7 linked regions of the Canis lupus familiaris genome follow. The protein of the gene in region 4 interacts with the protein of the main gene of each other region in a pairwise test. Links are inferred from orthologs where the notes say so. Each region holds a gene or a part of one and is shown on either strand. Other genes may lie near its edges.

What was found.
Region 1: the proteins of PSMC5 (region 4) and PDC interact in a two-hybrid assay, tested with the Homo sapiens proteins (2 studies listed by BioGRID). The link is inferred for Canis lupus familiaris from reciprocal best matches to the Homo sapiens genes PSMC5 and PDC.
Region 2: the proteins of PSMC5 (region 4) and RARB interact in binary tests that used the Homo sapiens proteins (3 or more experiments, as listed by UniProt). The link is inferred for Canis lupus familiaris from reciprocal best matches to the Homo sapiens genes PSMC5 and RARB.
Region 3: the proteins of PSMC5 (region 4) and nuclear receptor ROR-alpha interact in a two-hybrid assay, tested with the Homo sapiens proteins (3 studies listed by BioGRID and IntAct). The link is inferred for Canis lupus familiaris from reciprocal best matches to the Homo sapiens genes PSMC5 and RORA.
Region 5: the proteins of PSMC5 (region 4) and FOS interact in a two-hybrid assay, tested with the Homo sapiens proteins (3 studies listed by BioGRID and IntAct). The link is inferred for Canis lupus familiaris from reciprocal best matches to the Homo sapiens genes PSMC5 and FOS.
Region 6: the proteins of PSMC5 (region 4) and TNNT1 interact in a two-hybrid assay, tested with the Homo sapiens proteins (2 studies listed by BioGRID and IntAct). The two-hybrid records come from large-scale screens. The link is inferred for Canis lupus familiaris from reciprocal best matches to the Homo sapiens genes PSMC5 and TNNT1.
Region 7: the proteins of PSMC5 (region 4) and RORB interact in binary tests that used the Homo sapiens proteins (3 or more experiments, as listed by UniProt). The link is inferred for Canis lupus familiaris from reciprocal best matches to the Homo sapiens genes PSMC5 and RORB.

The regions. Positions count from the first base shown.
Region 1 is NC_049228.1:19,394,853-19,399,416, forward strand, and holds the start of PDC (phosducin), read right to left. Parts: upstream 2,905-4,564; 5' UTR 2,847-2,904; intron 1-2,846. UniProt on the Homo sapiens protein: May participate in the regulation of visual phototransduction or in the integration of photoreceptor metabolism. Inhibits the transcriptional activation activity of the cone-rod homeobox CRX.
Region 2 is NC_049244.1:18,937,407-18,941,332, reverse strand, and holds part of RARB (retinoic acid receptor beta), read left to right. Parts: intron 1-2,768; 5' UTR 2,769-3,047; coding exon 3,048-3,225; intron 3,226-3,926. UniProt on the Homo sapiens protein: Receptor for retinoic acid. Retinoic acid receptors bind as heterodimers to their target response elements in response to their ligands, all-trans or 9-cis retinoic acid, and regulate gene expression in various biological processes.
Region 3 is NC_049251.1:25,739,347-25,743,272, reverse strand, and holds part of nuclear receptor ROR-alpha, read left to right. Parts: intron 1-842; coding exon 843-975; intron 976-1,647; coding exon 1,648-1,755; intron 1,756-3,461; coding exon 3,462-3,572; intron 3,573-3,926. UniProt on the Homo sapiens protein: Nuclear receptor that binds DNA as a monomer to ROR response elements (RORE) containing a single core motif half-site 5'-AGGTCA-3' preceded by a short A-T-rich sequence.
Region 4 is NC_049230.1:15,140,383-15,144,818, reverse strand, and holds the start of PSMC5 (26S proteasome regulatory subunit 8), read left to right. Parts: upstream 1-1,323; 5' UTR 1,324-1,402; coding exon 1,403-1,426; intron 1,427-1,875; coding exon 1,876-1,947; intron 1,948-2,987; coding exon 2,988-3,057; intron 3,058-3,380; coding exon 3,381-3,478; intron 3,479-3,646; coding exon 3,647-3,703; intron 3,704-3,779; coding exon 3,780-4,010; intron 4,011-4,322; coding exon 4,323-4,436. Other genes in the region: pre-rRNA 2'-O-ribose RNA methyltransferase FTSJ3, read right to left, coding at 34-113, 239-285, 542-647, 818-884.
Region 5 is NC_049229.1:48,647,390-48,651,889, forward strand, and holds the start of FOS (proto-oncogene c-Fos), read left to right. Parts: upstream 1-1,638; 5' UTR 1,639-1,798; coding exon 1,799-1,939; intron 1,940-2,676; coding exon 2,677-2,928; intron 2,929-3,366; coding exon 3,367-3,474; intron 3,475-3,598; coding exon 3,599-4,240; 3' UTR 4,241-4,500. UniProt on the Homo sapiens protein: Nuclear phosphoprotein which forms a tight but non-covalently linked complex with the JUN/AP-1 transcription factor. In the heterodimer, FOS and JUN/AP-1 basic regions each seems to interact with symmetrical DNA half sites.
Region 6 is NC_049222.1:103,248,598-103,252,523, reverse strand, and holds part of TNNT1 (troponin T, slow skeletal muscle), read right to left. Parts: intron 1,769-3,926; coding exon 1,708-1,768; intron 1,421-1,707; coding exon 1,304-1,420; intron 1,070-1,303; coding exon 992-1,069; intron 1-991. UniProt on the Homo sapiens protein: Troponin T is the tropomyosin-binding subunit of troponin, the thin filament regulatory complex which confers calcium-sensitivity to striated muscle actomyosin ATPase activity.
Region 7 is NC_049222.1:84,344,052-84,348,732, reverse strand, and holds the start of RORB (nuclear receptor ROR-beta), read left to right. Parts: upstream 1-1,692; 5' UTR 1,693-2,407; coding exon 2,408-2,414; intron 2,415-4,681. UniProt on the Homo sapiens protein: Nuclear receptor that binds DNA as a monomer to ROR response elements (RORE) containing a single core motif half-site 5'-AGGTCA-3' preceded by a short A-T-rich sequence.

The sequences.
Region 1 (4,564 bases), on a different chromosome or scaffold from region 4:
TATATGGTCTTATGTTCAACATCAACGTAGAGGGAATTTTCTACCTCATTGTATATCAGTTAATTTCTTGAATTACTCTCCAGTTGACTTATTTATGTATGCCTTCACCTCCAAAGAATAGCTAAGCTGCTTGTGGGCATGAACCATGCATTACAATGCTTCCAAGTGACAGTATAGCATAATGATTAATACATAAACACTCGAGTTCAAATCTAGCTCTGTCAATTATTGGCTGTGTGACCTTGAGCAAATCACAAAAATTCTCTGCTTTAGTTTTCTTATTTATAAAATTGGAGTAATAGTAGTATCTACTTCAATAGGCTGTGTGAGGATTAAATGATATGAAGTATATAAATGTGTAGTATTTAGTTGTAGGAACTTAATAGATATTGAGCAAAAATGATAATTAGTAAATAATTAAAATTTAAAATACTCAAAATATTCAAAATTAATAATAGATGTAGTCAAATTAATATAAATTTTATTTAGGAATCCATGCATAGATGCACCGCTTAAGCCTAATTATCTCATCCACCCAAAGAATATGTCTGTGTGTATGTATGTGTGTATATGCATGGTCACATGTATATTGTACATTTATCTCAAAATTGTTTTATATTCTCCTATCTTATTACTGACTAAAGTTCTTATCATAATACTTTGATTTGCTTCTAGTAAGGTCTGTTTGCCACAAAGCATTTAAGAATAGAGAGATTTATTACTAAAGGGGAAATTAATTTGGAGTCATGAAATATAGGCTAATAAAATGTACATGAAATTACTTGAAAACAATAATAAGAAGGTTTTCTGAAAATATGTAAGTGGGAAATGGCAGGTGGTGATTTAAATTTGATTTTTCATTTAGTATTTATGTCATAACTGTTTACATATATTTTCTAAATTTCAGTTGTTTAATGGAGGAAGACTTTGCAGAGACAGTTACAGCATTCAGGATTTTTGTTGCCACCTTTAGTTGTTAATTTTGGGCAGGTCTTTTTATTATCATAAGAGTTTTCTTTAAAAATAAATCCCCAGGGCAGCCCCAGTGGCTCAGCGGTTTAGTGCTGCCTTCAGTCCAGGTCATGATCCTGGGGACCCAGGATGGAGTCCCATGTCCGGCTCCCTGCGTGGAGCCTGCTTCTCCCTCTGCCTGTGTCTCTGCCTCTCTCTCTCTCTGTGTTTCTCATGAATAAATAAATAAAATCTTTTAAAAAAGATAAAACTAAATCCCCAGAATTATGAATGGATTATAGGACACAGCATCCTCAGAATGGCTGTAATAAATAAATGTAGAGCAAATGGTTGAGGCTAAGCAAATGTTACATGTAAAACACACATCTTGATGCTGTTGAAAACATCCCTGTATTACTTTTACTCTCCCTAGTATCTAAAGTTTATAACAACTTTAATAGAACTGTGATAGAAACTTTTATATAAGACACTGCAGAGCATACATTATGTTTTCTTGGCTCCTACTCTTCTCAATTAATTTTGCTTTTTCAAGTGAGACTGGACAGATGGGAGATGTTAGGAGCCTTTTAATGATTTGTATGTCAGGAATGCATGGCAGACTTCTGTTTGTCTACCAGTATCATCAGCTACAAATATTCTGGGAAAATACAAGCTTCCAAATTATAACTGAATTCTTGCTCCTAATAAAAGAAAAAGACTTTAGCCTATTCAGGTTTGCTCTTACTACATACAGACATTTTCTTAATTGTTTTGAAGCAAATAGAAATGTTGGAATCTTGCTGGAAACTCAAAGCAGATTCCTTGTTTTGAAATTTCTATCTTGTAAAAAGACTTACCATTTATTGTTATAATTCCATTATAGACGTTATCGTTAATGGTTCATACATATTTTGACAACTCCTATAATGTCAAATGCAGTTTGTAAACAGCATATTTAAGTAAAATATTACCACGATGAGTTAGGTGGTCTCTAAAATTTTTTCTAGCTTTAATGTTAGGTTATTCTAAGTAGCATGTATAATGGCCAAAAATACATATATTTAAAATGGATGTTGTAATTACAAGCTATTTTTGCAGTTAATAAAAATATTCCATGGCAAAACAGTGGGGAAATTTTACTTCATTCATTTTCATGATGCAAACTGTAACGTTTATTAATAATCATAATCACCTCCCCAGGGAAGCAAAATTGGAGAAATATAAAACAATCAAAAGAAAAATTTTATTTACCAAACATCAACAAAATCCCTGTATTCTTTTCTTTTAAAAACATTATTTCTGTGCCATTAAATTTTTGAAGTAAACTGAAACAGACATTATTATCCCTATTTTCAAGACTAAAAAACCCAACCCTTCCCTCCCCAAAACCCAAAATGTAATTTTTTTTTCCAAAATGTAATATTAAAAAACAAACAACAACAAACCAAGAACACACGACTGGTTAAGTACCTGGTCCCAAGTCTGAGAGTGCTTTAGCACTGGGTATAACACTCCTTTCACAGCTTAGGAGTCAAATCTTCAAATACAAAAATCCTTTTTTTCCCATAATTCTCTCTTCACTCAAAGGGAGGACTGAAGAATTTTAAATTTCACAATTGATTCCCTGTTCATGTCCCTTTATTTTAACTGTCTAGAATATCAGACCTAAAATTATGTCTTTACTTTGAATTTACATTAGTGAAGATGACTAGTGCAAATCTCGTTAAGAAGGAAATATATCTAGGATTTGTTTTTATAGTTAGATAAGTCATTACTTAATGTTACTTTGAAATATTTTAAAAGAACACAACATATCCATAAGCAGTGAAATAATTATTCTTTCCTTTAAGGTAAAATTTTCAAAATGATATCAAGAAGACCACCTGCAGACTCACAGTTTGGTTCTCTGTGCCTGGTATCCTTGCTTATGTTCAGTGGATGAGAAGCTTGTTTACAGAACTCCACTTGAACTTGAATAGGTTTAAGCTCAGATTTAAGATCCTTGAATATTGATGACCCTTGCAGAAATAGCTCTGAACAAGTAATAGGATTGGCATAAGGGAATTACAAAGCCTGTTTATTAACAGGAAAGCAAAGACAAACTAAAACAATGAACAATTTCAAGTCGTGTGATAAATACAATCTTTGTCCGTCCATTTTATGTTATTTGATATAAAAATACATTATCTCTTTCCAGCATGGGCTGATGATATCTGTTCTCAGAAATTTACTTGTCATTTTCTGAAAGAAAAACAGTTTTTCTGATCAAGAAGTTTTCCTAATCCAACCGTAGGAACTATCCTTCTCAAAAATTGCATTTGGCATGGTCCATTTTTCGCTTAAATTCAACAAACAAATATTTTCTTCTAAATTTTAGTGCCCTGAAATGCCTTGTGTATTAAAATCTTTCTTTCCTTCTTTCTTATCCTTCTTTCTTCGGAGGGACTGGGGGTTTTGCGTTCGGGCGGTCTTTAGTCGGGGCGGGTTTGGTGTTCTTCGTTCTTTGTTTCGTGTTTTTTTTTGTGTCTTGTCTTTTCTTTTCCTTCTACCCCTCCCCCTTCTCCTTTCTTTCTTTCTTTATTTTAGCAAAAAAAAAAAAAATTCTAGAAATTTTGAATACAGTCTTTATAATGTTAATGAGCTCCACCTTATTATATCTCCCCTATATTTTACTGTATCTTTCCTAGTTCTTGTTTGTTTTATTACATTGGTCATTTCACTTTTCTTCTATGTGCTGTTCAAAACAAGGAAACTTCAGGCGCCTGGGTGGCTCAGGCCCTTGAGTGTTCAGCTCTTGATTTCAGCTCAGGTCATGATCTCAGGGTGGTGAGATGGGGCCCTGTGTGAGACTCTGCTGGGTGTGGAGCCTGCTTGATTCTCTCTCCCTTTGTCCCCCACTCTCTAAAACAAAACAAAACAGGACAAAGAGCTTTCATTCAACAACAAGTTAAAGACTGCCTACCCTTTGTTAAGGGATGTTCACCAGGGGTATTATTGCAGTCTTTGGAAATTAGGCTTTTGAAGTGAAGCTATTGGTTCAAAGCTAACCCCTAGAATGTATTTTATATGATCTAAGGGTAGAGAGCTTATAGTTTATAGGATACATTTAATTGGCAAGGGACAGCAATAAGATGAATATTTATTTACTACAATAAAATGAGTATATATTCATTAGCCCCATAAATATATATTGAGCACCTGCTTTGTGTCAACCAGCAGTGACTAAGGCACTGAGGACACAAAGAAAATTAAACCATATTTCCTATGTCATGGGGTTCACAGTTTAGTAAAGGAGATATGAAAGTAAAAGTCACAATGAGATGCTATAATTACTACTAAATTGGGAATATGTAAGAAATATACGATACAAAAAGAATTGGTTTTCAACTTTTTCTACAGGTTTTTAATAAAACTTCAGGTTAGCTAAGTCATTTCTGGGTCTATTTGCTTTCTGCATTTTAAATTTTGATTGGTGTTTTTTTCCTTTTTATTTTTGCCATTGTTGCTGGGTTTTACTATTACAAATTCCTTTCCTGCTATTTTTAATGGAGTGTAAGGATGTGGGGAATGCAGACAAATGTGTTCAATTTGCCTTTTCCTAATACTTTTCATC
Region 2 (3,926 bases), on a different chromosome or scaffold from region 4:
TTGTTTATTTTCTAATTAATTTGCTACAAACCACAAAATAAAAGTGTTAAATATATTAGATGGTGTGTGATATTTTAGAAGAGAAAGCGGGGAAAACATTCACCTCTCATAGTCCATTTACTTTATTTTCATCAGAGAAAAAAGTTGTGGTTTGAAAGTGTGAAAAGGACAATGATATTTGGGGAGGGCATCACTTTTAGGGATAAATGTGTTACATAAGCAAATAGCAAATACGGTCTCCTTTGTAAGGGACAGCGAAGTTCTGGGGAACCTGGGACCAGATGGTCTCACTGTTGATGACATTCATTTGTAATATTAATAGGCCAGGGACTCAAGGCCCTGGGGAGAATGTCATCTGAGTGAGGCCAGCCACTCACATCACAACAGCTTGTGGACTTTTTCCTGTAGGGTACAACTAGGACACCTCAGGCACTCAGTGACATAAAAGCACAGCATGGTAGAGGGGAAAGCACAGAGATGTAGCCAGATCTAGGTTCAGATTGTGACTTAGCCACAGGCTGACTCTGTGACATTGCTGTTAAGTCAATTAAACTCATTGAGGGGGTGGCTCCATGGTTGAGCATCTGCCTTTGGTTCAGGTCGTGATCCCAGGATCCTGGGATCGAGTCCCACATCAGGCTCCCATAGGAAGCCTGTGCTTCTCCCTCTGTCTATGCCTCTGCCTCTCTGTGTCTCACATGAATAAATAAATAAATTCTTTAAACAAACAAACTCATTGAGACTTAGTTTTCTCACCTGGAAAATGAGGATAACTGCCTATGGACAGCTCTAAGGGCCAGAGCTTAAAGCCCCTAAGTCAAGTGCTTGACAACACAGTAAACAAATGGAAATTACTATGAATTAGAAAATGTGGGGATTCATAATCAAGCTGGCCAGCTTCACAGACTGAGAAGTCAGGAAGCCTTAATATGTCTTGGTTCTCCACTGTACCCGGATCCCACCTTTCCTTCTTCCATGACAAAAGTTTTAGTCCTAATGTTTTCCTCAAACAACTGTGCTGTGACTTCCTCCCTGCCCTGATCCCAAAGCCTCTTGTCTATTCCAGTGAGCTTGTTCTTAGAAGCATATCATTTGATGAGACAATACATATGTGAATAATGAACTTTGACTTAGTGGTTTGTTTTTTTTTTTTTAAGATTTTATTTATTTATTCATGAGAGACAGAGAGAGAGAGGGAGGCAGAGACACAGGCAGAGGGAGAAGCAGGTTCCATGCAGGGAGCCTGACGTGGGACTCAATCCCAGGTCTCCAGGATCAGGCCCTGGGCTGAAGGCGGTGCTAAACCACTGAGCCACCCGGGTTGCCCTTGACCTAGTGTTGACTCCACACAGGGCACTCTTCTTCTCTTGATGTTACTTCATTTCCTCATGTACCCCTCGTAACCACCCTCTGAAGTAAATTCTATTATCATCCCCATTGTGTAATAAAAACTGCTATGTTGAGAAGTAAGATCACTGCCCATGGGATGGAACCATGATTTGAACCTAGGCAGTCTGGCTCTAGAATCATGCTCTTGACTGTGACTCTGTGCTGGCCCTGAGATATTGTTCTTGTTTTGTGTCATGTGGGTTTACTCTCAGGGCTTTCCTTCAGTGGAGTCTAGAGTTTGAGACTTTTGCTGAATATTGGTCTTCAGGACCAAAATGAGCCCATGGAGTCTACAGTCAGCCCACCCTATAATTGATTTCAGGCTTTTTCCACTCCTGGTCACCAGGAGTCCTAGGTCTCGATCATCCCTTGCATGTCTTTTGTGAGGGCAGAGCAATTTAACCCTCTTTAACAACATGATCTCAGTTAGAAGCTGTTAAAACTAAACAGCTCTGTGATGGCAGGATCCACATTAGCATTGTTTCATACTGTATCTCTACAGCCTACATCAGCACCAGGTGTCTAGTAGTAGTTAGCATTCCACTATTATTCCACAATAATATTTCACAACTGCTTTATTCCACAAAGCAGTTGTGTGGATCTACGGATGGTGTTCTTACAAGAAAGGTATATACTATTGACAATGAGAAACTGATATATTTCATGGGTCTTTGGCTATATCTCTTACTTACCTTTCTTTAGGATCTAGGGGTCTCCTAGAATTATATTTTATCTCGTTGGGCATCTCATTCCAAAAGAATGGGTTGAAATCCCGAATTTGTTTATAAAACGTATGTAACATCTTGAAAGAACCTAGGTTAGGACATCATAAAACAATGTGTCTCTAAAAGAAGCAAGAAAAAACATTCATTCATTCATTCAATCAATATTTATTGAGTATCTGTGGCCTATCTGGTTTCCTTTTAATAGATTAAAACGTTGTGGTACACAAAACAGAAAAACTCTCCCCTCCTGGTCAGTTCATTCTAATGGGAGACTGACAAAGCACTCTCACAAAAACTTAAGTGCCATGGAGAAAACTTAAAGCAGGATGAGGAATATGGAGAAAGATTACCCCAGAGTGGGGGGACATGGCTATTTAATATAGGATAGTTGTGGCTATTGTGAAATTATTTGTAAATTTGATTCTATATTAGAATATAAGAATTTAAGAATAGTCAATATAGGGGAATAGCCAGGAGCTAGGAGAGCTAGATTAATACCTGAGATTTTTCATATAATTTGATAAAGAAGAAGATATTTTTAACTTGTGATATTTATTTATTTACTTACTTACTTACTTACTTATTTATTTATTTATTTATTTATTTATTTATTTATTTATTATCTATCACTCTATCTTTTTTTTTCCCTTACAGAATTAGCAGCTCTGAATCATTAAAGTAATAGCATTTCCCAGCCTTAAATTGAGACGCTCAACAAAAAAGGCATCCTTCTTGTAAATCAACACAACAAGATGAGAGGTGGAAAAATCATGCTGAGAAGAAGCAAGGTCATATGTTGAACTGTTTTGCCTTTTGCCCAGAAGACAGCTCAGACTCAATCCTTGCCCCATATTTACCTCCCTCACTTTGGTTCAAGACCTGAAGTGATGTGTTCCAGCCCCAGAGCACCTTTCATCCTGTGAGGCCTGAAACATGACCACCAGTAGCCACGCATGTCCCGTCCCAGCAGTGAATGGACACATGACTCACTATCCAGCTGCACCCTACCCATTGCTCTTTCCACCAGTCATTGGAGGACTTTCCCTGCCTCCCCTCCATGGCCTTCACGGCCACCCTCCTCCAAGTGGATGCAGTACCCCATCACCTGCAAGTAAGTACCACTGCAATTTGGTCTTTTCTCTTGGTTGGCTGGCTTAATGGATGTCAGAAAACAAGGTGTTTCATATCCCTGGGTAAGTTTTTATTTTGGGGGGGGGGGGGTTTGGTTTCTCTTGGTCTGCAATTGTACTTTTAGTTCTATTGCAGAAATCTAATTTGAAACCTGACAAATGATGCGTTTTAGAATGTGGTCCATTCAAAACTCTGTTTTATTTTGCTCCATTTCTTAAAATGTAAACCTAAAAAGTAATCAGCAGATATGTATGACTAACATTCCTGAAGAAATTGGCCGCTTGATAAATAATGTGGACAGAGGATTAGAAGATGATTCCATAAAAATCACTTAACAATAATGCTGGACTTAACATCAATTTTGGTTGTGAGGTCTTCTTTGAATCTCTAACTCTGCTCCTGGGTATAGATAGTATCTTTAATTGTTTAATTCATATCACATAAGCTTTTGTGAGTGTCTTCATTCACTTTTGGTTCTGTACTAAGCTGTTCCTTACCTCTGCTCTTAACTGGAATGTTGGGTATAAAGTATTATAAGATAAAAATAGAGTTAGAATTGTTCAAGACTGATACGACTTACTTATAGAAAACATACATATTATGTGATTTTTTTTTTAAGACCTGCCTATTTCCGCACAAGCTGTGGTTAGCCAGTGAGCTCTTTCGCCTTTGAGAAATAGG
Region 3 (3,926 bases), on a different chromosome or scaffold from region 4:
AAAATATCGGGACTAGACCAGGACTCCTACCTCCTAATTCAGTGTTTCCTTCACCCCCTCATATCGGTGAAAACAGTCAAACTAAGATTGAGGGAACAAGTGAGCAATGTAACAGATCTAGGTTACCCTAAAACTAAATTAGGAAGTGGGTATGTAGAAGCAATTAAACAGAATAGGTTAGAGAATAGCAAAACATCACATTATTTACCTTTGAGAAAGCAGGTAATACCAGCAGCCAGCCAGTGTTGCAAAGGGAAAGCAGAAAGCAGTAAGAAATCGCAAGGCATGTGAAATAGGATTGAGAGTCAGAGATGCTGGGATTTGAATCCCAGCTCCAACACATCCTAGCTGTGAAACCTCTATGAGAATTTATGTCCATTTATGGAAAATGGGGAGATGAAACAAGACAATGATGTCATAAAGCATCTAGCTCAAAGCAGGTGCACGATAAATGATTGAGTCCCCTTTTCTTCCCTTCCTCCAGTAAAGTAGTGTTAAATTCCCCCAAGGTAAAATGATTGCTCAAAAGAAGTTCCTACTTTGCTACTCTCCGAGGCCCAAGGGTAGAGAGTGGCATGTGTTGCTTTCCTGACTCATGTTTTCACCTGCTCATAATATCTTTTCCCTGTCCCTTTGCCACCAAAATGGTAAAAAGAAAAATTGGAGGAGACAGGAAGGGACTTGGAAGCAATCATTATCACCCGAGTGTTCATTTTTAATCCTCTAGCTTTTTTTAATCCATTTCCAAAGAAGGATTTTTTTATAAAATAGGAACAGTTAAAACAAACTGTGTCTGGGGCATGGGTAACCGTGTCTGCTAATGTGCTTCACTCCTCTTACAGCAGCGGGAGGTGATGTGGCAATTGTGTGCCATCAAAATTACGGAAGCTATACAGTATGTGGTGGAGTTTGCCAAACGCATTGATGGATTTATGGAACTGTGTCAAAATGATCAAATTGTGCTTCTCAAAGCAGGTATGTGCTTTGCAAGTGAATTTTGAGATCTCTTCCTAACCTGCTTTCACCCGCTTATTAAAGAAATGCTTGGTAAGGAAGGTGTCGGGAACAGTTTTTCTCCAGTGATAATAGCTTGGGTTTCTTTTAGCAGAAACAGAGTCCTTTTAAAGGTTTTTGAGCTATCTGTGGGGAAACATTCCCTCCATTTTGCTTCTCCTCTAAGTGAAACGATTAATTTGAAGGGCACTCACATTCTCCCATCTTACCGTCACCTGTGTTTGTTTCTACTGCACCAGACTCTCGGGAGGGAACAGCGAGTTGTTAGGAATGTTATTTGTGGAACTCAAAGGGCCACCCCTGGTGTTTTGGTTTGTTTAATAAATGTGAATCCATACGTTTTCCTGGCAACTTAGATAGATTCTGTTTGCAAGACAGAAGATTGCCAGAGAAGTAATTTGTAACTCCATCTCTCTTCAGGACTACAGCCTCCATTAGCTTCAGCATGAATCTTTAATTACACTGGTGAACTGGGTCCCTTTAAATAGAGAGCTGGTGTGACAGAAAGCCCCTGGCTCCACTGCATACAGCCCCGCTGTGCTGAATCAGAAAGGGGTCTCTACATTAGTGCCTTCACAATAGATTAATATTCACCACGAGAAGATAATCCACACCATTTCTGCCTTCACTTAGGTTCTCTAGAGGTGGTGTTTATCAGAATGTGCCGTGCCTTCGACTCTCAGAACAACACCGTGTACTTTGATGGGAAATATGCTAGCCCCGACGTCTTCAAATCCTTGGGTAAGGAAATCTGGGTGCTCTTTTACATCAGGGCTGTAGGAAAATGTGGGAGCCCCGCCAAAGAGCTCACTGAACAGAAGGGAAGCTGTTATTTGGAAACAAAAATTAAAGGATTTTATACTTCTGTTACTTTATAGTCACTGCAGGAAATTCACACAGCTCAAACGCTCTTTGTCTAGATTACATTTAAAAGTTTAGCGTTTTCGTTGGATCTAGTTGGTGATCGAAGAAATTTATATGGTCTAACCTTCCAGTTCCCTTCCAGGTTTTAAGAACCAGATTTTCCTAGGATAAGTTATTCAGATAAACTAGAAGATGTGATTTGATACATAAAATCAAGCAAAGATCTAAATGTCTGCCCTTCTGTACTTCTCAATAACAACCATTAGTAAGAATGAAATGTGGATATCAGAGAAATAAAGCATAGCTAAGTGAAAGTGACATATACTATAAAAATTACTTTGGATTTCTGGAATTTAAATAAAGTGGAATATAATCAAGAAGAACAAAACAGTATCCAAGATAAAGTTGTTAGGTGATTTTAAAAACAGTTAAATGACCAAAGGCCATATACTTTAGGAAAGCCCATTAGTTTAAATACATATACATAATATGCAAATCTGAAAGAGTGGATACCAAACTTAACCATTTTTTTAAAAAGATTTTATTTATTTATTTGAGACAAATAAAGTGAGCATAAGCAAGAGGGAGGAACAGAAGGAGAGGGAGCAGCAGACTCCCCACTGAGCAGGGAGCCCCAACTTGGGGCTGGATCCCAGGATCCTAAGATCCTGACCTGAGCTGAAGGCAGACACTTAACCGACTGAGCCACCCAGGCACCCCCAAACTTAACCAATCTTTTGAGGATGGATTATGGATTATGTTATGAGACTTTCACGTTCAGAAAAGTGTTTTCAGTTTTGTAAAAGGTATAATGATTTTACCACCAGAATGTGTCATTTGTTATCATTTTTAAGAGTGGTTTAGATCAAATAGAGTAGAAAACAAAAAAATCAGTGAATGTAACATCTCAGTTGGATTGTAGCCGTTTAATTCTTTTAATTCTGTTGGTTAAGATTGTGGGTTCTGAATTCAGGCAGCCTGGTTTTTAATTTCAGGCTGTTACTTCCTACCTGTATAACCTTAAGTACATAATTTTTCTGTTTCCTCACATCTAAAACGGGGGTAATAATAATACCTCCCTCATAGAGCTGTTGTGAAGAAATAAGTTACCCAAAGAAAACCTCTTAGAGTGGTACCTGATAATATACTAACCTTGCCACAAAAGTCCACTCTCGTTATTTTAAATGGTCAGGATTATAGTGAAGGTGATGATAGCTAAACGGATTCTTCTTTTTTTAAGATTTCAAACTGTTAAGTTGTAGAAATGTTACTATCCCCTTGTTTTGTTTTCTTTCTAAGATTTATTTATCCATTTATTCATGATAGACAGAGAGAGAGAGAGAGGCAAAGACACAGAGACACAGGCAGAGGGAGAAGCAGACTCCATGCCAGGAGCCCGACGCGGGAGCTCGATCCTGGGACTCCAGGATCGCACCCTGGGCCAAAGGCAGGGGCTAAACCGCTGCGCCACCCAGGGATCCCTATCCCCTTGGTTCTTAAATTATTAGATCCCTCCTCGCCTTATTCCATATTTTTCTCCTAGGGTAATAACCAAAATCCCAAACTGTCTTTAACTTTGGCAGGTTGTGAAGACTTTATTAGCTTTGTATTTGAATTTGGAAAGAGTTTATGTTCTATGCACCTGACTGAAGATGAAATTGCATTATTTTCCGCATTTGTACTAATGTCGGCAGGTAAGATTATCAAATAACAATGAAATGGTTTAAAAATTGTCCAGGTAAAGAATTCTTACAAGATACATAACTTTTAATGACTGTAGACTTTTCAGGTGTTACCAAGAGAGGTTGCCACCTTATTAAATCTAAGTTTTATCAAATAGCAACCTTCCCCCACACACATACATGTACATGTTTAAGAAGACCTCATGCCATTCTGATAAAATCTTAATAAATGAGAACTGAGTAAAACCCAGTCCATAATTAACCTCCTGATATCATGAGAAATGCTCTGGTAGAGTAGGGTTACCCTTCTTAACACAAATCTCCCAAGATAACATGGTTTTTAAGATATCCTACTTTTTCTTAAGA
Region 4 (4,436 bases):
GAAAGGACGCAGAAAAAGAGCGATTCCTGTTACCTGCCTACAGCGTTCTGTTGTGATGTCCTCCTGGAGTGTCACCACATTGGGAAGAGGCTTGATTGGAACCAGGTCCACTCCTGCAATAAATCAGGTCAGAAAGTTACAAAGGGATGCCCTAAGCAAGGAGAAAGGAAATGCAGAACACAATTAGTATCTCATTCTCCCACCCCTTTACCACTCAGGGGGCCCATCCGTTACTCACCCACAATAAGGCTGGATACAGGCATAAACTTAGCAGCCACCTGCAGCCTAGAAAAGAGTAATGCCGACTAAAATAACTCAAGACTACAATAACTCAAGACCGTTCCTCCCCCTCCCTTGGCAATAGGCTCTCTCACCGCGTGCCTTAAGAGGCGCTACCAAGTGCAGTGCCCCGACCTACGTCTAGGAAAAGCATGAGACTGGTATTGCCGTATCCCTCCCGCCCCCCAGTGCCACTCCAAGTCCTCCACGGCCGGGACCCTCAACGCAGCCACAAAGAGCCGCAGGTGCCGGGTGTACCCACCATCCCCCGGGCGCAGCACACAGGTCCAGCAAGGCTCGTGCTTTCTGCAGGAACTGAAAACGGCGATTCAACTGGATCAGCTTGAAAGCAGAGCGGGAGCGGTAACCTGGGGGCACCGACAAAATGTTAAACTCGGCGGGGGGCTTTCCCAGGGAGATTTCTGCGACTTCACAACCCACCACCCCGTCTACAGAACGGAAACTCAGTATTCGGAAAGGTGGGAGAGAATCGAAAACGTCCCTCCTTAGCTCGCAGACAGCGCGGACCCTGACTCACCGGTCTCCTTCGCCAAGTGATAGAACTTGTCCCGCCGGCTCTTCCCGACTTTGCCCTTCTTGCCCATAGTGGAACGGGAGGACTGTCACTTAACCTGGGGACAGAAAAATTGAAACGCCGCTTTCCGTCCCCCACTTGTCTCTGCAAGCACGGGGAATCTCTGCCTTTTTCACCACTCTGAGAGAGGCACGTGGGGGGCAGCACACGTACTTCCGTTTCCGCTTGCGTCGCTTGCGTCTCCGGCTCCAAGTTTCCGCCATTTTGAGCGTGGCCGAAAAGTTTTCTTTATGTCCTTAAGTATTGCAAGTTGGAAGTTGGGACCAGGTGAGCGGATTACCTGATCTAAAACTGAGTTCCTAGAGAGCAACATTTAGGAGTTCCGTGGCCTCCTCATCCCTTTCCAAGCTCCTGACCTCGCGTAGCCACCTTCTCATCATGGCCTCTGTTTTTGTAGTCGTCGCGACGCACACCCCGCCCATTGACCCGGAATTCTTCTCTGTCAGGGTCGCCGGGCCCCAAGCCCCTATTTTTGCGCCTGCGCGCCAAGGTGGCTCGGATGCCGGCGGCCGCCGTGGGTGAGAGAAGATGGCGCTTGACGGGCCGGAGCAGGTACGGCGGCTGCGGTGGCCGGGTGGGGACGGGGCCTCGATGCGAAGCAGGCGCGATCCGAGGTGGGCAGACGGCCGAGGCAAGGGGGTCGGGTGGGTTGGGTGGGTGGACCAATCCAGACTGGGCCCTGCGCGGGACCGGATCTGCTGTGTCAGCGCCGCCCGCGGCGGGTCAGAGCAGGGCCGGGAGAGAAAGACCCGGGGGAAGCGGAGCGAATGAGGGGAAGATGGCTCGGTACAAAGCGCTCTCGTGCATGTTGTCCCTTGATCCTCCTGAAAGTCTTACGAGGTAGGCGGCATTCTCCTTCTGCTTTGAGTTAGTCGCGGGGAAGTGGAGGGTTCTAAAGAGATGACTGAGGAATTCAACCCAAATCCCATTCCTCCAAAGTCCAGGCTTTTTTCCCTTGCATTTTGGGGGTTGGGGGGCTAATAATTACCCTGTGTCTTCAGATGGAGCTGGAAGAGGGGAAGGCAGGCAGTGGACTCCGCCAATATTATCTGTCCAAGATCGAAGAACTCCAGGTGAGGATGGACTACAGAGGCAGCTAGGAGGGGATGAGGGACTGGAGTATGTTTATATAAACCCACGTAGTCCGGTGGGGGCGCAGTGGAAGAAGTAACTGGTCAAGGATAGGAGTATATGAAGTTAAGTTTCTTGTTTCTCTCACTTCTCACCCTTTGAAGGTAATCAGTATACACGGTTTATTACACATCGTTGGCTGTCAGATTTTGACGTAAGAGGTACTCTTTGCCAAGTACTATTCCTTTTAGAAGTTTGAATTGAGGGTTTCTTATAAAAGGTAACGCGGAAGCTGGGATGAGACGTAGCACACGGGCTGGGACAGGGTGAGAGCGAGAAGGGAGACCGAAACTCCCAGTTGGGATAATGCGGACCCCATGGGACTGAATAAAAGGAGTTGGGCCACCCAGTGCCTTAGCCTGAAGAGGGGGCAGGGACCGTAGCAATAAGGGAAATATACACACTGGATGAAAGAAAGTCACAAGGACGGTTTCTGAACTCCTGGCGTATTTGCAGCTTTCATATTCGGTCTATGATTTTTGAAGTGCCTTTACATGGGATTTCCTTTGTTCTTCACAATAGTCCTGAGAAGAGGCAGGGTAGGGGACGCTAGATCTACTTCCAGTTTGGTAACATCATGACTTTTTTTTTTTTTAACATCGTGACCTTTTAAATGGTTTCCCTTAGCTTTAGCTACCTGTTAGTTGGCAGCGGTGGGCTTAGAACTTAGGCTTTGGACTCAGTGATGTTCCCACTCTACCATGTTATTTTCTTGCAAGGAGTTGACTATGTGAGGCAGCTGTGACTTTTATCAGGGCTTGCTATTCCTGGTCCATTATTAGGGCAACTAGTCTTTTTTCATGGCTGCTCTAGGCCCCAGAGGGACTCCTGGAGGAAAGGATAGTCTTTAAGATCATATCGGACAGTCTGGAACGTGCAGGTGGCCCCGTGCTCTTCTGTCACTTAGCTCGTACCAGCCTGTGAGGATCTTGGCCAAGACCATAACCTCTTGTTGTTTTCTGCTGTTTCTTGTCCTCCGTAGTTGATTGTAAACGATAAGAGCCAAAATCTCCGGAGGCTGCAGGCACAGAGGAATGAGCTTAATGCAAAAGGTGAGAAGGGAAAGATGGGAAGGCTGCATTTGGCCAGTCTGTCCAAGGTCTGTCTGAATCTGCCTAAATTGAGACTTGAGACTTCATGTTTGGTGCTTATTGTTTCTCGTATAGTCCAAGGTTACACTTTACACCGTTACGTAGTTACGGGCAGGGACCGCATGCCTCTCCCCATTGTAACCCCTTTAGAAATTAAATTCTGACTTTATTTTTGTGGTCTTCTAAAACTTCAAATTGGTGCTTAATTCATGCCTGTCAAATGGAGTCGTGAGAGAAAGGACACTGAAGAAGCTGGGTGACCCCTATGTCTGTTTCCCATCCAGTTCGCCTATTGCGGGAAGAACTACAGCTGCTGCAGGAACAGGGCTCTTATGTGGGGGAAGTAGTCCGGGCCATGGATAAGAAAAAAGTGTTGGTTAAGGTAAAAGCACGATTGACCCCCAGAGAGCAGCCCAAAGCCCAACGCATTCCCACACGTGTGTGTAGCATTGCCAAGACACTCTTCTATTATTTTAGGACTCCTGGGTCTTCCTGGGCGAGGTGGGTAGTTTGGTGGTTGTCAGGAAAGGTCACGAACCCGTTTCTGTAGGTGCATCCTGAAGGCAAGTTTGTCGTAGATGTGGACAAGAACATCGACATCAATGATGTGAGTGCTGCAGGTGAGGTGGGAGGTTGGGCTCAGCTCTTAGCACACTACCTCCTAAAACTCTTCTCTTACCCAGGTGACACCCAATTGCCGGGTGGCTCTAAGAAATGACAGCTACACTCTGCACAAGATCTTACCCAACAAGGTAGACCCACTGGTGTCACTGATGATGGTGGAGAAGGTGCCAGATTCAACCTATGAGATGATCGGTGGATTAGACAAGCAGATAAAGGAGATCAAAGAAGTAATTGAGCTGCCTGTCAAGCATCCTGAGCTCTTTGAAGCACTGGGCATTGCACAGCCCAAGGTGAGAAGCAAGATTTCTATGGAAGGGTCATGCTGTTACTGGCATGTCCTGCCCTTGCCAAAGTGAGTACAGGGCTCAGGGGAGGTGTCTGGACCCCCACTTAATGCTGGCCCTCCCCATGGAAGAGGGGCTGGAGAATGCAGCCAGGGCACTGAGGTAGTTCAGAAAGCAGCACTAGAAAGGACCTTGACGTTCATGATTTATACCCCTGGTATCTAGCACGGGATCTAGCCCAGGGTCAACACCCAGTAAATGTTCACGGAGTGTAATGTGGGGATGGCTTCTGCCCTGAGTTCTGCTGTTTCTCTCTAGGGGGTGCTGCTGTATGGACCCCCCGGCACTGGGAAGACACTGTTGGCCCGGGCGGTGGCTCATCATACAGACTGTACCTTTATTCGGGTTTCTGGTTCCGAGTTGGTACAGAAA
Region 5 (4,500 bases), on a different chromosome or scaffold from region 4:
TGGCGGCGCAGTGTTGCTGTAAACAGCCGCTTCCCTGTTACTATCTATAGCAGGATCGCCTGGCTCCGGGGTGCGGCGGCGGGAGGCAGGTCGGCGGTCCGGCTCCCCGCGCGCCCCGAGGGATCCGCCCGCGGCCCTAGTCCCGCCTCGCCCCTTTCCAGGGGTCCACCGCGAGCCCGGGGCCCGGAAGAGTGGGGAAGGCACACGGGGGCTCCGCTGGGCTCTGCGACTTCGCGCCCCGGAGGAGGCCGCGCGCTGGAACCCGGGCTGGGGCAATGTGACCCCAGGTGTCCTTTGCAGCGGAGGAGGAGGCTGGGGGGGTCTCTGGGGGTGCAACGCACGCTCGAGCCCCCGACCGCCCCAACCCGGTTTTCCAGGCCACAGAGCCGCGCCTGAGGTCCCACAGCGGCCGAGGTCTCCCTCCTGGGAGCTGCTGGCTACAGTCCTTCCAGCGCCCCCGGTCCCCCCCCCCCCAAGTCTGCGCTGGAAAATCACCCGCTGTGGGCAGCCAGTAAGCCCAGCTTCCTGGGGGAACCGAGCCTCGTCTAACTTCCCAGCTCGGATTTGCGCTCCCCCGGGGAACTCTCTCCACCCGGTACCCTCAACTGACCACCTTGTCCACATAGCACCCCCGGAATCGCATCCCACTCCCCGGGCCCCAGCTCAGAACTAGGCAAACGAACCCATCAGATATCCTTGCATGGAGGCTCTGCCCAATATTCACTGGCTAGCGTCTCAGATTTGACGGTATCGCTAATGTCCCTAAGTATGGCCGAGAAAAAAAAAATGCGCTTTTTTCCCTAAAAATAAAAAACCAAAACAATTAAAATTAAAATACCCAACATCGTAGATAAAGTAGGTTAGCGTACGTATTCCCTTATTTCGGATTTCCCGACTTTTCTGCTTCCAAATGCAGTAACAGCCCTAGTACTGCTGCGGACTGGGGGCTTGAGGGTCTGCTTTCACGGGGTGCACTGAATCAGGGTAGAATCCGGAATGGCCGGGGGCGGGGGTGGAGGCGGCGCATTCCTTCTGGGGCTGAGGCTTAAGCCCTCGGGCTGTGTACCTGTTTCTCCCATACCTGAGCCCCAGCACATTTCCGGGGCGCCGTATACTGGTAAAAAGGCGCTCCCGGCCCATCCCCCCACCCCGCCCGGGGAACAAGGGTCCGCATTGAACCAGGTGCGAATGTTCGCTCGCGTTCTTCTCCTTTCCCGCCTCCCCTCCCCCGGCCGCGGCCCCCGCCTCCCCCCGCGCTGCACCCTCGGTGTTGGCTGCAGCCGGCGAGCAGTTCCCGTCAATCCGTCCCCCCTTACACAGGATGTCCATATTAGGACATCTGCGTCAGCAGGTTTCCACGGCCGTTCCCTGCGGTCGTGGGGGGAGCCGTCCCCGGAGTCCCTCGTCTCGGGGGCTCCACGGGACCCCGGAGACCCAAATTGCTGATCGCTCAGGAGATAAGGGACCACATTAAGACGGGCAGTGGGGGGCGGCGGGGGCGGCGGCGGCGGCAAGGAGGCCGAAGGCGTGCGCAGGTCGGCCGGCCACCCCCCTGGCGCCGCGATGGTTGCGCCCATGACGTGGGTGGGGGCTCATTCATAGAATGCTGCTATAAATGCGGTGCTGCGGCGCCTCGTACTCCAACCGCATCTGCAGCGAGCAGCCGAGAAGCCGAGACGGAGCCGGCGGCCGCGGCGCAGCGAGCGAGCAGTGACCGCGCTCCCACCCAGCTCTGCCCCACAGCTCCGGCCTGTCTCCGCCCCTCAGCCCCTCGCCCCGGCCCTGACTCACCGCGACCATGATGTTCTCTGGTTTCAACGCCGACTACGAGGCGTCCTCCTCCCGCTGCAGCAGCGCGTCCCCGGCCGGGGACACCCTCTCCTACTACCACTCACCGGCCGACTCCTTCTCCAGCATGGGCTCTCCCGTCAATGCGCAGGTGAGGCTGGCTTCGCGCCGCCGCGGGGCCCGGGGCAGGGTCCGACCCCAGGGCGGAGACTCCGGGGCGGGACGCTCGGGAAGGCGAGTCGGGGGGGAAGCTGCCCTACCGCGGGACCCCCGGACTCGGTGGGGCGCACGCGCGCTGTCCTAGCGAGGATCGGCCCCCCTCTCCCGCGGCAGGCCCGGCTGGGGCCGCCCTCGGGCCGCGCTCCCTGGCATTACCCGGGGCGCAGCGTGTCCCAGGCCGAGACTCGCGAACTAGCGCCTGGCTCCTCCGGGAGGCGACGGGAAGCGGCAATCCCCCCGCCCCCACCCCTCCCCGCGCAGCCCGGAGCCGGGAGGAGGGGCGGGGGAGGAGGGTGAAGCCGGCGGGTGTGTAAGGCAGTTTCATTGATAAAAAGCGAGTTCATTCAGGAGACTCCGGAGCGGCGCCTGCGTCAGCGCAGACGTCAGGGATATTTATAACAAACCCCCTTTCAGGCGAGTGATGCCGGAGGGGTAACGGGGACGCAGCAGCAGGGTGGAGGAGAAACGCGCTGCGTCGCGGGCTTCCTGGGAGGACACGGAGAGCCCCCTGCCTCCAGGACGAGGGGCACATCAGAAGCCCCGAGCAGTCCGGGGCGTGCTTCTCCTCCGCTCTCCGCCGCTGCATGCGGCACTGGACGCCCGGCCCGCCGCACCTGTGTCCGGAACCTGCTCCCTCACGTCAGCTTTGCCCCCTCTGTTCCGTTCTAGGACTTCTGCACCGATCTGGCCGTCTCCAGTGCCAACTTCATCCCGACGGTGACTGCCATCTCCACCAGCCCGGACCTGCAGTGGCTGGTGCAGCCCACCCTGGTCTCCTCCGTGGCCCCGTCCCAGACCAGAGCCCCCCACCCGTATGGAGTCCCCACCCCCTCGGCTGGGGCTTACTCCAGGGCTGGCGTTGTGAAGACCATGACGGGAGGCAGAGCTCAGAGCATTGGCCGGAGGGGCAAGGTGGAACAGGTGAGCGGTTCTTCCAGCACCTTCTCTCAGTAGGGGGCGTGGGTTGGCATTGGTGGAGCTGGGGAGCACCGTGGGCAGGGCGAAGCCACTGATGGAGTCACCACCTATCTGTCCTCCACGAGGAACCCTGGCTCCAAGCCATTTCCGTCCCACGCCGGACTCTGATAGTCCTACCCCAAGAAATACTCTGGTAGTATTTCTTCCCTCATAGGCTCCTTCTCCAGCTTTTAGACCGGGCTCTTCTTTGTTCTCTTGCTAAGGATCTTATTTTAAATGCAAGTCACACCCAGCCCGCAAGTGCAGGTTAGAAATGGCTTCCTCGCAGGGGTGCCAGGAAGCTGGGAAGCTGCAGGGACCAGTTTCACCCCGGGGTGGCTGAACCCAGCTGATGGCAGACCTTGTTACTGACTGTTGGCCTTTTGGAAATTGTTTTTCTAGCTGTCCCCAGAAGAAGAAGAGAAAAGGAGAATCCGAAGGGAAAGGAATAAGATGGCTGCAGCCAAGTGCCGGAACCGCAGGAGGGAGCTGACTGACACGCTCCAAGCGGTAGGTAGACCCTGTGGGTCACTCCTTTTTCAAACTTAGGGGGAAAGTTGGAGACTGGGTATCCGGGAGCAGGGCCCTTGAGTAGGCCCGCGTCTTATGCTTTGCTCTGTCCCTCTGGATACAGGAGACAGACCAACTAGAAGACGAGAAGTCTGCTCTGCAGACCGAGATTGCCAACCTGCTGAAGGAGAAGGAGAAACTAGAGTTCATCCTGGCAGCTCACCGACCTGCCTGCAAGATCCCTGATGACCTGGGCTTCCCCGAAGAGATGTCCGTGGCTTCCCTAGATCTGAGCGGGGGCCTGCCCGAAGCTGCCACCCCGGAGTCCGAGGAGGCTTTCACCCTGCCCCTCCTCAATGATCCTGAGCCCAAGCCCTCCGTGGAGCCCGTCAAGAGCATCGGCAGCATGGAGCTGAAGGCCGAGCCCTTTGATGACTTCCTGTTTCCAGCATCATCCAGGCCCAGCGGCTCGGAGACCGCCCGCTCCGTGCCAGACATGGACCTGTCTGGTTCCTTCTATGCAGCAGACTGGGAGCCCCTGCATGGTGGCTCCCTGGGGATGGGGCCCATGGCCACAGAGCCCGAGCCTCTGTGCACCCCCGTAGTCACCTGTACTCCTAGCTGCACTACCTATACGTCTTCCTTCGTCTTCACCTACCCTGAGGCTGACTCCTTCCCCAGCTGTGCGGCCGCTCATCGCAAGGGCAGCAGCAGCAACGAACCCTCCTCTGACTCGCTCAGCTCACCCACGCTGCTGGCCCTGTGAGCAGGCAGGGAGGGGAGGCGGCAGGCACCCTAGGGTGCTACTGCCCAAGTTGGTGCATTACAGAGAGGAGAAACACGTCTTCCCTCGAGGGTTCCCGTAGACCTAGGGAGGACCTTATCTGTGCGCGAAACACACCAGGCGGTGGGCCTCAAGGACTTGAAAGCATCCACGCGCGGCCTCAAGTCCTTACCTCTTCCGGAGATGTAGCAAAACGCATGGAGTGTGTATTGTTCCCAGTGACACATCTGAGAGCTGGTAGT
Region 6 (3,926 bases), on a different chromosome or scaffold from region 4:
AGGCAAGAATGCAGACATCCTGGGGGTGCCTAGGGGGCGCAGTTGGTTAAATGTCTGCCTTCCGCTCAGGTCCTGACAGGAGGTCCTGGGATGGAGTCCCACATCCAGCTCCCAGCAGGGACCCTGCTTCTCCCTCTGCCTGTGTCTCTGCCTCTCTCTGTGTCTCTCATGAATAAATAAATAAAATCTTTTTAAAAAATTAATCACACCTGCAAAGTCCCTTTTGCCATGCAAGGTATCATATTCATAGACTCTGGGCATTAGGATGTGAGCATCTTTGGGAGACCAGTACTTTGCCTACCATGTCACTACTCCTAATCTTTAAAAGTGCTTCCAGGAGTCCTTGATGTCAAGGCAGATCACATATCCAGAGCCTACGCCAATGGGAATATCCTAACCAGTCTCCTACAACTAGCTAGCAATTTGCTCCAAGTTGGACAGGTGACCAATCTGCACTCATCCCAGAATCATGCAGAAGACAGATAAAAGAGGAATTATAGCCAGAGTTTCTGATGGTCACTTTCCATCCCTGCCTGAGAACGGGATGTCCAGTAGGGTGACCAGCCATCTGGTTTCCCTGGGACTGATGGGAACAGGATTTTCAAGGCCCAGGCCAGGAAAGTCCCAAGCACACCCATGATGACCTCATCACCCTAGGGTCCACAGAAAAATGGGCCCAGGGATAGGAAGACAAAAGCTGAGTCTTTGTGAGCTTGAGTTTCTTGATCCAGCCATGCCTGAAGCAAGTCACACTCCACTTTTCTTTTGGTTATATGAGCCAATAAAATTCTCTTTCTGCTGAATCCGGTTTGGGTTGGGGTTTCTGTCCCTTCCAAAGGAAAGATCCTTGAATAATACAGCACAAGGACTTTCTCAGGACAGCAGAAAATATGACAAATGGGAAACAGAGCATCCAGCTGAAGAAGTAACATTTGGTCTCCCTTCCAGGGCAGGGCTGGGCAGGGCAGGGAAGGGCAGGGGAGGCACCCACCGCCAGCTTAGCCTGACGCTCACGCTCCTTCTCTGTTCGGAAGCGCTGCTGCTCAGCTCTCTCAGCTCTGCGCCGCTCCTGGGGCGGGAGGGGGGTGTTGGGGGGAGAGAAGAATGAGGGGGTGCAGGGACGCTGCCTTCCCAAGGAGGTCAAGAGCAGAGATGAGCTAGTTTGAGTGTGGCCATGGACTTGCACCAGTTGCCAGTTCCCTCAAGATTCAGCCTCGGGCCTGCACTGTCTGGGAACCATTCCCAGCCCAGCCCCTCACAGGATGAGGGAGGAACTAGCAGAACCCCACCTCCCTCCACTCACAATGCGCTCTTTCAACGCAATGAGCTCCTCTTCCTCTTTCTTCCGCTGTTCAAAATGCACGTCGATGAGCGTCTGCAGCTCCAGCAGATCTTTCTCCATGCGCTTGCGGTGGATGTCCTGCAGGCCGGAGGGGGGGCGGGGAGCGTGTCATCCCCAGGCAGTGTGGGGGACCCGCACCCACCTGTGCGCACCTCAGAGGAAAGTCAGGGCAGGGCCCTTGGGGGCAGGGATGGACTGGGACAGTTTAGGGAGTCAGGGGGCCGCTGTTCGCGATGCTTGCAGAAGGTGGCACTAGCGACCCACACTAGGTCCATTTTAGGGGATTCCCGAAAGAAGGGAGAACCCAGGGGCGCCTCTTCCTAATTTGCACAAAGACACCTGGAGACTGGATGTCCCTTACTTACATCGAAGTCCACACGTTCCCCTTCTGGGATCTTGGGGGGGATCAGTGGAGGGACCACAGGCCTGATGGGTGGAGAAGGGGAATAAATGAACAGCCTGAGCTCCCTGATGGAGCTCCCCAGCTGCTGCTGCTGCACTGTTTACCCTGGCAGCCACCAGCCACGTGTGGTTGGGGCACCTGACAACTGGCTGGTCTGACTTGCGATTCCATGTGCCATCTGTGAAACACACTGGATTTTGAAAACTTGGTTCAAAGAAATGTAAAATATTTCACTAATGATGCCGCCTATCAATTGATTACATCTTGAAATGATAAAATTTCAGATATAGTGGATTGAATGGAAAAATCCTATGAAGATTAATTTTATCTGTTTTGTTTTACTTTTTAAAATGTTGCTTGTAATATATATTTTTATACATAAATTATATACATAGATTATACATATGTGGCTTGCACTATATTCGTATTGGGTGGTGCTGCCCTGAGGGGGGGTCCGCCCTCCATCCATGCCTTCATTAGAATTCTCTCTTCTCTGCTTTTTAAAACAGAAACTTCACCTGATTTCCTTCCTACTCCTCTCGCTGTCACCTCTGTCTACTGGTCCCCAGAGAGCCCTTTAAAGAGTTTCACCCTTGGGAATCCCTGGGTGGCTCAGCGGTTGGGCACCTGCCTTTGGCCCAGGGCATGATCCTGGCGTCCCATGTCAGGCTCCCTGCATGGATCCTGCTTTTCCCTCTGCCTGTCTCTCTCTCTCTCTGTCTCTCTGTCTCTCTGTCTCTGTCTTTCTCTCTCTCATGAATAAATAAAATCTTTTCTTTTTAAAAAGTTTTGCCCTTTTATTCGTTCACAGGACACTCCCACAAGGCATGTCATTCATTCGAGTGACTTCGATTATCATCAATTACCAAGGATTCACCAACTCTGTCTCCAGCCCAGATTCTCTTTGAGGTTCCAGACTCAGGTTGACAGGTGCGTCCTGACATTTCCTGCCTTCTCACAAACCATGCTGCCTCTGAGCTCACCAACTTCCCCCAGACTGAGTGGCGGCCATATGGCCCAGACCCCTGGCAGCGGTGCTCACATTCTCCCTCCCCTTGCCCCAGTGACAAGTCTGGCCTCTTTGCCTGGGCATCTCCCCAGTCTGTTCCCCAGTTTCCACCCCATGCTCCCCACCCTAGCTCAGGCCTCGGCCCCTCTCCTGTGAACCTTCATGCCAGCCTCCTCCTGGCCCCCTGCCACCTCTGGCTGTTTACCTTCAGTTCATCTTCCTTCATGACTTTAGAGCGGTGTTTCTAGCACCCAGAGCTCATCCTTAAGTCCAAGCAACCCAGCATTCAAAGTCCTTCTCCATCTGGCCCGTCAGATCCTCCAGCAACTTCTCTCCTCCTTCCCAGACACACACATTTCATGGTTCCCTGGCTATGACATGTGCCTTTGTACCCCTGGGCCTTTGCATATGCTGTTCCCTCTGCATGCAACGCCCTTCCCCTTCCTGCTGCATCCCCTGAGGCCTTCCCTTCTCCAACAAGCCTTCCCAGATCCCAAAGCACACCTGTGCCCCCCTGATCCCCCTTGCTGTCTCACTGAGGTCTGACTCCTCTACTCAAAACCTTCCATGCCTCCTCTACTCAAAACCCCCCATGGCTCCACAGGGCCCAGGCTTTCACAGCCCCATGCCTTCTTGCACTCTGCACTCCAGCCATAATGAAATTGGCACCACTGCCCACACCAACCCAGAACTCTCCTTCTTGTGCTCAGATCGCAGCCTCCTTGCATCTCCAAGCTTTGGCCCCAATCTCACCTCCTCCAAGACCCTCCGCCCCCATGAGCTCTCATGGTCTCCACAGATCTGCTTATTTTAGGACTCTCATCATCAGAATGACCTGTGTCTCTGTCTGTTCCCTGAAAGCCTGGCCTGAATCCAACCACTGCACCATGCATGCACCCTGTGAAGCTTTCTCCTTTACAATATCCCTCCCACCTCCTTCAGCTAGTGAACTCTTCATCCCTCAGGACTCTAGCATCACCTCCTCCCCTGGGAAGCCTTCCTTGACTGCCTAGGGCAAACATAGTACCTTCTTGTGTGCTACCCTCACTGTATCTGGGTCTGTTTCACCAACAGAGCAGATGGGTTCTGATATACCAAACACCAAGGGAAGTTCTCTGGACAATTGGCTGACAGAACAAATCCCTGCCCTTTCCTGCTTCAAGGGCCCCACT
Region 7 (4,681 bases), on a different chromosome or scaffold from region 4:
GTAGTCACAATTTGTTTCTTGACTATTTTATATTCAGTAATTTTTAATGAAGCAACTAAATTAGGCATAACTTAGTGCAGCTTTAATGTGGTTATAATGAATATATTTTACTTGATTAAAAATGATAAAACCAGGGAGCCTTAAATATTATCTTAAAAGATTAACTACTGTGTCAATTACAAATCTAGGGGAAAGGTATTTATAAGAGAATAACTATTCTGAACAGTGACTTCCTTCTGTTCATTTCATTTAATTAAAGACTCAATCAACTTTCACTCTTAATACTAAAATTTTCCTAAATTACACATTGGCTTGCAAATGGAAGGGCATATAGCAGGGCTAAGTCAATTTAGCACTAGGGAGGATTCAGCAAGTAATCCATTTTCTTATTTAAACAGGGAGGGACAAACTACTTGGCCGTGTAGAGTGCAGTAATTAACTAAATAATCGCCAATTTTGCATTGCATTTTTTTTGTCACATGACATAATATGAATAGAGCAAAAAATCAAATTATTTGGGCAGGTGAATGATGATGAGGCCTGCTCTGCCAACAGGTACGCTAATGAGTAGAAGCCTCAATGGCTTAAGACTGAGTAAGAGAAGCAAATTTCTCCCCTCTCTGCTTTGTAGGGGACCAATTAACCTACTATGGTGGGGATGGGGGCGGGGAGTAGATGTGATCACTATGTGTTTACTGTGTCCACTGAGAGAGGAAAACTTGCAAAGGAACAGGTTTGACATATGCACTGGATTTTTATCAAAATACAAATAAATGGTCATAGATGACAGTTTTCACCTAAGGAATACAAAATACTCACGTTTAATTGTCAGTCTCCAATAAATAGAGAAGTGTCTTCTCAAAGCCAGGGGCTTAAGAGTCCTCCCTCCTAGAGCCCTACACGTTTGTCAAATAAACAGCACTTACACAGTCATCCCTCTGGCCTCAGCCATCTCCCTGGCACCACTGAGGTAGCCACAGTTGGGGCTCTTACCCTTGAATAGAGGTAGCGCAATGCCAGGAGATTTTGCAAATGCTAATAAAAATTTCCTTGACGAAAGAAAGTATTACAACATTTTTAAAAAATAATTAAAAAAAAAAAAATAAAAACCACCCTGAAGAAATCTTAAGTGTGTCGTGCTTCCTGTTTTTAGGATTCGGGGCGGGAAGCATCTGAAAGATGGTTTTCAAGGAAGCGGATGGCCCTTGCACGGGACTGCAGTTTGGTCACGCTCAACGTGATGGAAATTGATTGGCGTTTTGCTGCCACGAAAAGCCCCGCCAGAAATTCGGAGTTTACCGAAAGAGGACTCTGCAGAGCGCTGCCAGGCACTCAGAACTCACTCTCGGGGCAGGCGGCGGCTGCGAGAGACGGACGCAACGGGGGACCCGGGCAGCCGCACGGCCGTCGCCTCCGAAAGGACTGGGCAGCGCCTTCCCCCGCCTCCGGGGTCGGACGTGAGTGTCCCCTGCGGGTCGGCGCCCCTCGCGGGCCGGGCCCGCTCCTTTGCCCAGCTCGGACGGTCTCCCCGGCCAGTGTCAGCTCGGGCCGGCCGCGGGCCGCCGCGTCCCGCACCCCCGCCCGCCTCCGGGAAGCGCGGCCCCTCCCCCGCGGCCCCGGCCCCGGCCCCTCCGAGCGCTGCCGGGCGCTGATAGGCGGCGGCGCTGACAGCGGGCGGGGCCTGGGAGTCCCGGCCAAACCCGCCCTCGCGTATAAGCCCCTTCTCGGCTCTCTCTCTCTCCATCTCTCTCCTCTCTTTCTCTCTCGCTCCCTTCCTCCCTGTAACTGAACAGTGAAAATTCACTGGATCCGCTAACAGGCACAGATGTCATGTGAAAACGCACATGCTCTGCCATCCACACCGCCTTTCTTCCTTTTCTGTTTCCTTTCCCCCCCCCCCACCCCTTGCTCCTTCTCCTTCTTCTTTGTAACTAACAAAACCACCACCAACTCCTCCTCCTGCTGCTGCTTCTGCCCTTCCTCCTCCTCCTCAGTCCAAGTGATCACAAAAGAAATCTTCTAAGCCGGAGGCGGTGGCATTTTTAAAAAGCAAGCACATTAGAGAGAAAGAAAAAAGAAAAACAAAAGCAAAACAAAACCCGGGCACCAGCCAGACAGCACCTTTTTTTTTTTTTTTTTTTCCCACCCTTCCTGAAAACAAACAACCAAACAACCATCAAAACAGTCATCACCACCATCATCAAAACTGTTAACATAGCGGCGGCGGCGGCGGCGGCGGCAAACGTCACCCTCCGGCCACGGCGTCCGCCTAAAGGGATGGTTTTCTCGGCGGAGCAGCTCTTTGCCGACCACCTTCTTCACTCGTGCTGAGCAGGATTTTTGGGCTCTCCGGGGTTCGGGCTGGGAGCAGCTTCATGACTACGCGGAGCGGGAGAGCGGCCACACCATGCGAGGTAAGCGAGCCCGCGGACAGCGAGAGGGTCCCCGGTCCGGCCACCGCCGGCCCCTGCGGAGGGGGGAGGGGAGCGCACCCCGCACACGGGAAGGGGCTCTCGGGGCGCGGGGCTGGGGTCCGCGCTCGCAGGTGGGCTGCCGATGGCCTCGGGCGTGCAAAGTTGTGGGAAGGTGTGGATGCCTCTCGGGAGTTCTGGAGGGACGCAGGAGGGCGCTTTTTGGAGAGAGGAGCGGCGCTAGTTGCTTCCTCCCGGGCCAGGAGTTTCGCCGAACCGTTTGTGCTCGTCGCTCTCGGCTGCGGCCGCGGACGCCGGGTGGAGCGGGAGCCGGCGCGGGCTGCGGCCCCACGAGGCGGCTGGGAGCCCCCGGCGCGCGGCGGTGGCCTGCGGGGCTGGGGCGCGCGGGGCGCACGGGCAGGCGGCGGGGCGCGGGGGCGCGGGGGCGCGGGGGCGCGGGCGCACGGACTCACGGACTCGGGCTGGCCCGGCCCTGCCTCGCGGCAGCGGTGGGCAGGGGGGCGCGGGCGCGGGCGCGGGACCCGACGCGGACGCTGCATCGGCCCCCGCGCCCGTCCCTTGCGCCGGCGCTCCGCCCTGGCCAGGTCCGCGTGCTGGAGCCCGCGCGGTCCACGGACGAGCGCCGCCCCGAAAAAGTTGCGCAGAGAAAGTTCCAGAGGACTGAGAAGCCGGCGCCCCCCGCGGCCGAGGATGCTCTTTTTGTCAAGGGGCCGCTGGGTGAGCCCCGGAGCCGAGACCCCCAGCGGCGGCGGCGGCGGCGGCGGGTCCCTGGGGCGAGCTGGCAGCCGCGGGGCGGCGCGCCGGGGGCGGGCGAGAGAGGCTTCCCCTGGGTCCCCTCGGCGCTGCCCAGTGGACGGCCCGGCCGGCTGGACGGAGCCACTACGTCGGTCTCCTCCCCGGCAGTGCCGGGACCTTCGGGTCTCCAGCGCGCTGTGCTCGGACCCGCTCCCCCCCACTTTCTGCTTGGCCACAACTTTACTCTTTTCTTGAAGAGCGGGCCGAGAGCCAGCTTGCCGTGGGGACGTGTGCAAGTCTCCGGGCACCTGCCTCGCCCCGTTTTTTCTTCCTGGCCACTCTACGGCTCTTTGTGGGGCTCTCCGCTACCCGTCGCACGCCCTCCGGGGCCTGGCAACAAACAGAAAGTTGGAGAGGCCAGCCCCGGGCCTCCCTACGTCCCTGACCCGGCGACAGGTGGACTAGGCAGGTAGAGCTAGGGAAGGTCGGACTGCAAACGCTCCTCGTCTTCTAGCCGGCAGTGCACCTCTCCCACTCGCCCCCGCCCCCCGCCCCCCGCCCCCTCCCCCGCCAGCACCTACCTCTCTAGGAGGGCCCTGGGGGGCGGGGCGCAGCGGGCTTGCTCTCGTGCTCCGCACAAAGTGAACCCCGGAGCTTGGAGCTTGGACGCCGGGGCAGGGACTGGCTGGGCGCTGGGACGTGGCAGGAAAGGGAAGGAGGGGGAAGAACAGAGAGGTTGTCCAGGGAAGTGAGTGGGAGGGAGCTAGCCATCCAGGTGGGGTGATGGACCCCGCGAACTCGGAGTGGGAGCTCCGGGGCTTGCGAGCCGGTTCCGGTTGAGTGTCCCAGTTGGGGGTTTGGTCACATGCGGCATCGTCCAGATTCTCTCAGAAAATTGTACTCGGGCAACTGGCGAGTATAGAACCTGTAAGGGAAAGACGCCCCCACCCCAGTCTTTGTTTTGCTGTTTCTGCCCCGTCTCACCACCATCCCCCTCCTTTCGGCTTCCCCTGCTCGGGTCTGGGGCCGCCGGGTCGCCCTTCCCTTACTTCTCCCCTTCCAACATTCCTCCCACGGCAGGACCACGTTCTGATGGTCGGAAACCACGCGTCGTGTCGGCTCCCACCCGGCACTAGGACCTGCGGCGCAAAAGCCGCTCGCTCTCCCCCTTAAATTAAAGAAAGCGGCGGTGCGGGGCAGGAGTGGGTTGTAGCTTGATCGCGCTGCTCCTGAAGCAGCACTATGCCAGACAGTCCGGATCGCCTCGGGCTCCAGCAGCCTGAAGGCTTGAAAGCCAGGCGCTCGCCTAGTGCTCACCTTCAGAAACCAGTCGACAGCCCACACTCACTCGCTTTCCAGAAGGCTGTCACCCTCGCCAAGCTGCCCAGAAGAGTTTACAAGTCCTAACTTAAAGCGGCTCTCCGGCGAGGGGGAAGGGGGTGGGGGGTGCTCGCCCTGGAAGAAAAGGAAGCTTACAAGGTGGCAGAGTCTTTTTCTCCACCTCCCAGGCTCTC